Regions from separate parts of the Mus musculus genome. Here region 1 is reported to be linked to region 2. The links are microRNA targets in miRTarBase. Many come from high-throughput screens and were not tested one by one. Region 2 holds a microRNA gene; the other region holds the end of a gene's coding sequence.
Evidence for each region. Region 2 holds the annotated microRNA mmu-miR-339-3p (UGAGCGCCUCGGCGACAGAGCCG, at 2,940-2,962, opposite strand). A microRNA usually pairs through its seed, bases 2 to 8, with sites in the 3' UTR of a target mRNA and lowers its output. Matches are read on the target gene's strand: a 7mer-m8 pairs with bases 2 to 8, a 7mer-A1 pairs with bases 2 to 7 and ends in A, and an 8mer does both.

Region 1: the mRNA of Rbms2 is a reported target of mmu-miR-339-3p. Seed matches in the 3' UTR shown: 8mer at 2,891-2,898.

Annotation. Positions count from the first base shown.
Region 1 is chr10:128,129,870-128,134,252 of GRCm38, forward strand. Rbms2 (RNA binding motif, single stranded interacting protein 2) reads right to left here. Exons shown (of 13, transcript NM_019711.2): 11 at 4,259-4,339; 12 at 3,772-3,856; 13 at 1-3,498. The coding sequence ends at 3,776. Among named protein-coding and RNA genes, the nearest start is that of Gm51821, 6.5 kb to the left of the region's middle.
Region 2 is chr5:139,366,734-139,371,116 of GRCm38, forward strand. Mir339 (microRNA 339) reads right to left here and starts at 3,012; the gene lies at 2,917-3,012. The region is part of intron 2 of 3110082I17Rik (RIKEN cDNA 3110082I17 gene); the gene reads right to left.

The DNA.
Region 1 (4,383 bases), not on the chromosome of region 2:
CCATATGGAGAGTTCGCTCTTGTAGGGAGCCAACGTCACTGGAGAAGACGATCCAGAAAGAGCAGTTTTGGGTTGTGGAACTGAGGAGTTTGCATTTGTTCCAACCCCACAAAGACAAGGGCAGTAAAGGATGGTGGGAGGCAAGTAGGTGCTTGTGTGCCTTGAGTTGTCAGACTGAGGTAGTTGAGTAATGAGGACGAGGGAGTTTAGGGATTTGCTTGGACAGGAAATGCTTATTTTGAACATTCAGAGCGGTGGTCACAAGGGTGATGAGGGCATCACTGCCACATGGAGACCACCTCCGGGAGGTGCAGCAAAGAGTAGAGGAGACAAATTGGTTTTAGCTGCTGAGGGAAGGCTCCTGTAGACCCTGAATCTACTACTGGGATCAAAGGCACTTTTAAGAGGCAGGTTACCCAGAAGTAGAGCCACCGGCTTGCTCCGAATTGGTAAGAATTGGTCTAACAAGCATTGGTTGTATATACCTCTAGACTCACCTTATCCTCTGAATTCAGGTCTAGAAATGGCTGGGTGAGTTTGGGTCTACCACCTACTCAACTGTATTGCTCTTGGCGACAAAATGGGAGGTGCCCACTTGACCGGAAGGGCCAGGGACAAAAACAAACTAGTCCTTCCGAAACCCTCAGCAAATAACGCTTCACTTCCACCCCATTTTTTATTATTGAGCACTTGCCCTTTCCAAAGCCGTTTTGCTTCACAAGCTTGGTCCCTATCATTGTTCCCACATATTCCTAAGTAATAGCAGGACCTGTCTCCAAAAGTCCAGTCCATCTACAGTCTGACCCAATGAGATGGGATAGGCCTGGAGCCTAGTGAAGAGTCACACGAGGTCAGGTGTGAGCTCTAGTCCACTCTGATTGATTGGAAGCAAAACCACAATGTACTAAAATGAGTACAGGTGAGATATAGAGTGCAGAGCCATCTATCTGGCCTCCATGCAAACAGGACTCAGGAGACTGTTAGGAGCCTTGGGCAGGATGATGGAGAGGAGGCTTACAACTCATCCCTCATGGCTTGCATACTACTTCCTGTCTTCAGTCGCTACCTTTCTGAGTAATGAGCTAATGAGGAAAAGAGTGGATGGAAATCACTAAGCAGAAATTACACAGTGAGTGCCATTAACCACTATAAAAACAAAATTACAGGTTGCCCTCATTTCCCATGCTCACACCTGTTCAACCAGAAACACTAGAACCCTAACCAGTATACTCAAAAGAAAAACCTAAAAAGGTAATTTCAAATTTTAAAACTGTCAGTTATTCAAATTGCTTTAGAACTACAGAAAAAGGAACAATTTTTAATAGGCAGTGAAGGAGCAGCAGTGGCAGCAAGACTGTCAGCAGGGTTTCCACAGGACAGAGCTCTGAGTCTGTCACTGAGTGCTAGAGGGCTAGAGGTCGATAACTGGGTATGACCTTCCTGATGTTGGAAGCACCAATGAGAAAACTGGTCATTTTGTACTTTATGCTGTCCATTGTCCTCAGCCCCTTCCTCAGTCTAGAACGCACAGCAGCACAGTCAGGCCAGGATTCCCAATTCTGTAGTGTGCACAGCTGCTGAGCCAGTTTCTCACCATCACCATGCCCTGCCCTTCCTCTTTCACACTGACCTCTGGACACACTTCCCCATCTCCATTGCTTTGTCTACTGGAGGTGTACTTATGACGTGAAGGGATGTGATGTAACAAGTCACATTTTGTGCTGAAAGTCTTGCAGAAGGGAATAGTTAACGGCAGGCATGTTTACAAGTCCCTCCTGACCTTTGAGTGGCCAGGGAGCTGTGAGTCTTGCCTTTTTCTATCCTAGCACCCCGTCGTCCTTCCACAAGAAGGAAAATTATTTCTGGTGGTCTGGTTCCCTGGGGAAGGGGTCCAAACACCAGGGCTGGGCTGGGTATGCTGCATAGAGAAAGCTCAGTCCATTCTCAAGCATGCACAGTATACACAACAGTTCTTGCTTTCATCCCTTCAAACTGTGTGCACTTGGCATGTACATACAACCAAGGGTGAGCCCTGCTAAATAAGATGGCTCCTGCTGAATTAAGTGATTCAGCCAAGTACCACTTGAGTACAGCCATGTGCAGCTGGGATGAGAGGCTGTGAGAACCCAGGCAGAAAAGATCCTCCAGGAGGCAAAGTCACAGATGTCACTGCTGGCCAAGTACATGAACTAACAGGCTCCATGTCCAAGGCTGGACTGGGGTTTAGTCTACACCAAATAACTGCCAGGGAATAAGGGGTGGAGGAGTGGGGCCAGGTTCTGTCAGGTGTTCAGGACCAGCACACATGATACTCCCCAGGCTTGGTAATCAAGGATGATGATGGACAAGACAGCAGCCTCTCGGGGACAAAACAACCTCCTGGTAAAGTGGAAGGCAGAACTTGCTCAGCAGGGGCAGGGGCTGTGAGACCTGGGGCAGGATGAAGACCCAAGACCCTCCAGGAGGCAGAGCAGGTATCCAGGATGCTGAAGCTGGATGCCACTTCTCAGTGGCACTTGCCACCAGAGTTGGTTGAAGGTGGTTTCCAAAGGCTGCATGGTTGTCACATGTCTGCTTCCTGAAGTCAAAGTCTAACCCCTCCTAGGCCAGGAGGGCAGAGGGAAAGCAACCTCTACTGCCACACTTCTCTACCTGTGCGTTGCTCTCCCTTCCCCCAATTCCACATGAAATTTAAATCAAATTCATAAAATTAAAAATTGTAAAAAGGCAAAGTAGGCAGGCTAAGCTAAATGGAAAAGAAAAAAAGACCATTGTGGAGAAGTTTTAAAAAACAACTAGCCGGGCGGTGGTGGCGCACGCCTTTAATCCCAGCACTTGGGAGGCAGAGGCAGGTGGATTTCTAAGTTCGAGGCTAGCTTGGTCTACAAAGTGAGCGCCAGGACAGCCAGGGCTACACAGAGAAACCCTGTCTTGAAAAAAAAAAAACCAAAAAAAAAAAAACAACTAGCTAGGCATGGCGGTGCACTCAGACAGAGTGGGAAGGATCGCTGAGTTCAAAGCCAGCCTGGTCTACATTGTCAGCCAGCCAGGACTGCACTGTGAGACCCTGCCTTAAACAGTGCGTGGGAGGGAGGTGGGTGGGTGTGTGCAAAGTGTGTGTTGAGAGCTTTGCAAAACAAAAGTTTTAAGCCTGCATATCTAAAACACACATTGAAAATAGTCCCTAACTGAACCTGGCAAGCAGCGCCCCTTCACTGACTTCACAGCACTGCGATTGTTCTTAAACCATTTTAAAAGCCCAACATACCCAAACCTCTCGAAGATGAGAAGCACCTCAACTGGTGTCTTTGGGGTAGGAGAAAGGTTCGCTGCAATTAAATACAAAGCAAGAAACTTCTTTTGCAAAAGAAAAAAAAGTCTTTTTGATCTTGAATGTAGCACATTCAAAAAAAAAAACCAACGTGATTCCTCAGGTTCCATCAGCCACAGGAAGGAGCCCAAGGAGGACTGCATAGGCTTCTCTCCCCAGGTCTGGACCTGTGAGGGAATGACAGCCAGGTGTTAGTGCTCAGCAGGCTACAGCTAGGCTTGTAACTTGCTAAACCTTCTGGAGTCTGTGAGCATCTCCAAGAGTTCCTTTCTGTTTAACAAAGATGGGGGGAAAGAATCCTAAAGGAGGCATTAGCTGGAGACGATACGAAGAGGACACGACTATTAATTAACCTGTCTGGCTATTGGCAGAACAAAGCTGCAAGCACCATCTTCCAGTTCAGCATAGCATAGCAGCATTCCCCACCATAAAGTTCTTACCTCATTATTTGCTGAACTGGAAAGGATAGACCCCGTGGTCTGAGGGGGGCTCCACTGCCAGTTGATTCTGCTGGCCATTGCTCTCCTGTATCACAGCCAAGGAAAGTTACTGAAGCATTCCTACACGCACCTCCCACTAAAGCCTCCCCAATTCAGCCACACACACACACACCGCCCCCAACGCATGTGTGCATCCAACATCCAGACTGCCAGAAAGCGGGCAAAGTGGTCCAGCTACCTTGGAAAATACTTCAGCATTTGCTCATTTTCAGAGTATTGAGGCAGCTGAAGTCAGCATCCCTGTCTAAATTGAACAGAGCAGGCTGGCTAAACACCAATGAAGCCGCCTCCTGCTCTCCTCACAACCACCAGTGAGGATGCCGGCGGTAGGCAGTACCGAGAGAGGAGTACACAGTTCAGAGATCTGCCCTTGATGTGTCCTGGCCTCACTGCAAAACAAAACAAAACGAACCGAAAAAGCTCCTACCTCAGCAGAAACACTGGAAGAAGGCACAGCTGGGTACTGGGAGATGTAAGCCCCATGCATAGCAGCAGCTGCCGGCATGAACTACAAAAACAAAAACAATGGTTCTCAGCTAGTTTAAAGCCCTC
Region 2 (4,383 bases):
GCGGTGGGATTCCAAACACACACCGCCACAGTCAGCTTTCAGGGGGCTCTCATGGGATCTGACCCCGGTCCTCCTGCTTGTCGGGCAAGCGCTGGACTGACAGCCGTCTCTCCACCTCCTGTTTCTTTTTTGTCGTTGTTGTTGTTACTTTTTAAAATATTTACTTATGTGCATAGATGTTCTGCCCACATATATGTACACGCATGTGTGTGCCTGGTACCCTCTGATGTCAGAAGTGGGTGTCAGGTCCCCTGAAACTGGAGTTATTGGAGAACGGGATGGTTTGGTCACATGGGTACTGGTGTTGAGACTGGATCCTCTGGAAGAGGGACAAGTGCTCTAAACTGAGACCCCCATCTTTCCAGCCCCCTGGTTTTCAAAGAGGAACTTGGTACGTGGCCCAGGCTGGCACTTCTCCTGTCTCTGTAGCCTCTGGAGTCCCGGGATTAGAGCTGCCCTCTTTTCCAGCTCTTTTTTAAAAGAGAGGTAGGGTGTGGCACACACATGCTGGGTGGAGATGGCTCGGTGGGTTAGAGCACTTGTTGCTCTTACAGAGGACCTGGGTTTGGTTCTCAGCACCCACATGGTAGCTCTCAATCATTTGTAATTGTAGCTCCAGAGGGCCCAAAGTCCTCTTCTGAACTCTGGGTACATATGTAATGCTCATTCAGGCATGCATATAAAACATGCACACTGGCCTGAGCGAATGCTGCACCCACGGAGGGTCCTTGTATGGATGGTGGGCTCAGCTCTTTGCTGTCCCTACCAAAGCCAAGGAAGGCTGACACTTTGGGGCCAGTGCAGCATCAGCAGTCTCCCAAATGGCACACCCTGAGGGTTCCTCCACCCACATCTCCATCACCACTCATGGTTTGCACTGATCCAGGGCTGGCGGAGCAGGCAGCCTCTGTCCCATGCTAACAGGCAAGGCTTGCTGGGTGACTCTGGAGATTGAGAAGAAAACTGGACCATCTCCCAACAGCCTTGGTAGCTAAATTCAAGACTGCCTGGTGTCCATGACAGGGCACAGCCTGTGTGTGTGTGTGTGTGTGTAGGTTAGCTGGTAAGCTGACCTGGAATTATAAAGCCCAGGCTAGCTAGCGTCCCCTTAGGGGCAATCTTGCCTCAGGCTCCCTGAGTTCTGGATGTTGAGAAGAGTCCTGGCCAGGCATTCTGAGCCACACTGGTAAGGGGAGTCTGGCCTGCTTGTGCCTGTTGCTGGTGAGGAGGCTTAACTCTACCATCTGTAAGCAGGGGCATCCTGGTGAGTGGGTGTTTTCTGCCAGCTCAAAGACTCCAGGCGGCACTTTCTCCCTTGCCCTCACCAGGCTGTGTGTAAACCCAGGACCAACCTTGAACCAGGGCAACTGCGTGGGCCTGCTTCTCTTGTTTGTTCCCCAGGTTTAATCAGGAAGCCCTGGTTGAACCTTACTGTTTTTGAAGCCTCAGGCGCTGAGGAGGCACACAAAGGTGGGTGCTGCAGCAAACCGCAGCTTCAAGCACCCCACCACTGCCCCTCCCTTGGGTCCCATGGGGGTAAAAGAGGCCTTCTGTGTAGGAGGAAGGGCAAGGGCCCACTGTCCTTCCCCAATGAAGTTCACAGGGCAGAGAGATGTTCTCCTTCTCCACACAGCTAGAAGGAGCTGCTGGCCCTGGCCAGGGCATCACCTGTGCTGGGGCAGTATGACTGGGGATATTCTCTTAATAGGGATTTGTGCTGTCCTGGGGAGGCAGTCAATGCCCAGCGTTTTTGAGCATCCACTGGGCTCAAAAACATCTTGTTCAAACGTTCTTGGAATTGTGGAGGAGGTTGGTGAATATGTCCTGAGGATTGAAAGTCCAAGGCTAGCTTGAGCTTAGCAAGTCTGTCTCAAACATAAACAAAAACCCCTCAAAGGTTAGTTGTAGACCTTGGCAGTAGAGGCCCTGGTAGCCAGTGCCAGACACACAGCTCTGTAGGACCTTCTTTCTTGGAATGACTGAGTCAGGTGTAAGGATGAACACAGGTGAGGGTAGAAGGACCCTCTGTTGTCCCCACCCCATCATGTGACCAGAGCAGCTGTACTGGGGGCGCAGCTGAGTGGCAGGGAATCCAGTCATTTGACCCGCTTCACACAGGACAGAGTCCCAAGGGCACAGCAGATGGTCGATGGAGCCCAGCACCTGGCCTGTCTATCACATACCCAGGTGGTGCCTCCAAGGCTGGGGCATGGTCTCTGGTCCCTACCACCCCTATACCTGTTCCCCAGACATTGGGAATGGCCTACAAGTGACAGCGATGTTTGTGGGGGGAGACCACGAAGCCTGCTGAGGCTGACGAGCTGGGTGCCAAGGCCAGTGGACTCTGTTCTCATTCCCCAGCCCAGAATCAGCCCTCCTCCATTCAGTTGGAGCCAGCCCGAGTCCAGGGTCCCACAGAGGTGTTCGACCTTGAGAGCCCATTCCGGTTCACAGACCTCAGCAGACTGCTGCCCGGCTATGCACTCACTCGGTAGCAAGATTTCCAGAAGACAAAGCAAAAGCACAACAACATAATGAAGAGAGGGGAGAGAGTTTGTTTTAAAGGAAGCTTTTTATTTGGAGGTAATTACTGAAACACAGTGGATGTAGAAGTGACCCAGGGACACCAACTGCCAGGACATAGGTCACACGCAGTAGAATCAACTGGTGCTACAGAGGACACACACAGAGGGAGAGACCTGGAAGGCTCCCTCCTGGCTCCTCTCCCCTCCCCCTCAGTGTCTGCGTAGGTTAAGATGATTAGGACCCCAGAGGGGTCAGTGCCTTGCGTCACCGCACAGAGAAACCAGAGTCCCCTCCATCCACGGAACAACCTGCAGATCTGCACAATCGAGTTCAAGAAGGTACAGCATGAACAGCCAGCGACTGAGCACCCTGGTCTGCAGGCAAGGGTCTGTGGACAGTGCAGGGGTGGACACCGGCTCTGTCGCCGAGGCGCTCACAGGCAGGCATACGTGAGCTCCTGGAGGACAGGGATAGTGGCCACCCCGTCCAGCTCTGCACAGCTGTGCTCTCACCACCTTGGTGCCAAGGCAAGGGTCACACCCACCTAGGGATCCCCTTCTAGATATGACTTTTCAAATGCACAAAATGTCACTTAAGCCCCATGCTTGAAAAAGACAAAGATGACAGATGCGGCACCCTGCCTCCTCAGTGACCTGAATGGCGGAAGTGAGCAGCAGATCTGATGTATCCCTGAGAAACAGGAGACTGGGCCATCACCAGCTGCCACAGGACACACGAATCCCCAGAGGTGATGTTGTCACCGCCACCAAGCCCAGGCTCTGTCCAGGCCACAGGTCCTTCTGCAGTCACGGCAGAAACACCCTGTGTCACTTACTTGGGGGTTAAACACAGGCTAAAGCCTAAGTCTTGACCTCAGGCTGCCCAGAGAATTAACTTTCTCACAGACTCCAGCACAGACCACAAGGCCTCTAGGCTGTGAGTCCCCGACTATACATCGGTTTTCTTGGCTCTCTGGCCTCAGCTCACCTGACTCAGGCTGACTGGCCCCACCAACAAGGTTATGAAGGTCCCATGGGTTTTCTAGGTCTAACCTCTCCCACTGCTATCTCACATGTCCCCAGTTCCAACACAGGAGCAGACAGACCCCAGGAGCTTGAACAGGGTGCAGATTTCCTTGACTAGGCTGAGGGGCTGGCTCCAGAAGATAAAACTTCCGTCCCTTTGCCTGCAGATCACAGGAACTGGTCCCAGCAGCTCTGGCACAAGTTTAAGTGGGAAGCCCAACTCGGCCATCAGTGAAGCTCCTGGTCCAAGAGCAAGGACAGAGTCAGCCCCTGCCACCTGAATCACGGGCGTGAGGGCGACACACACAACAAGCTCCCACCTAGGTCTACTCAGAAATGGCAGAAAGCAGCCAACAGGCAGGGAAGAGGGCCCTGCAGCGGGGGAGATGGGGAGGTCTCTAATCAGACCCCTGCAGTAGGAGACCCTGAAGTGAAGGAGAGGGAGGGGCTTGCATCTATAACTGAGCATTCCCAGGCCAGGAAAAGCCTGCTGACACAAGAACCTGTGTACTGTGCAGAGCCTGCGCTGCGTCCCTGAGCCGAGCGAGACTCAGTCTCATTTCAGCTGCAGTCTGCCTCCTTCGCCCTAGCTGGAGGCCTTCTTTCTAGCCAGGGCCAGGTACCCACATCCCCTTCTCTAGAGCTTCCCGGCATGCCCACCACCCAGGGATGCTTGTTCTAGCCTGGTTTCCACGTGCCCCACTCCCAATTCTATTTGAGTGTGCCGGTAATCAAAATGCTTTTGATTTTGGCTTCCTCTGGTAGAGCAGCTGTGTTCACACATCCCAAACTGCCTAGTGGACCCCCAAGTGACATTAAGGTCATGGAAGCT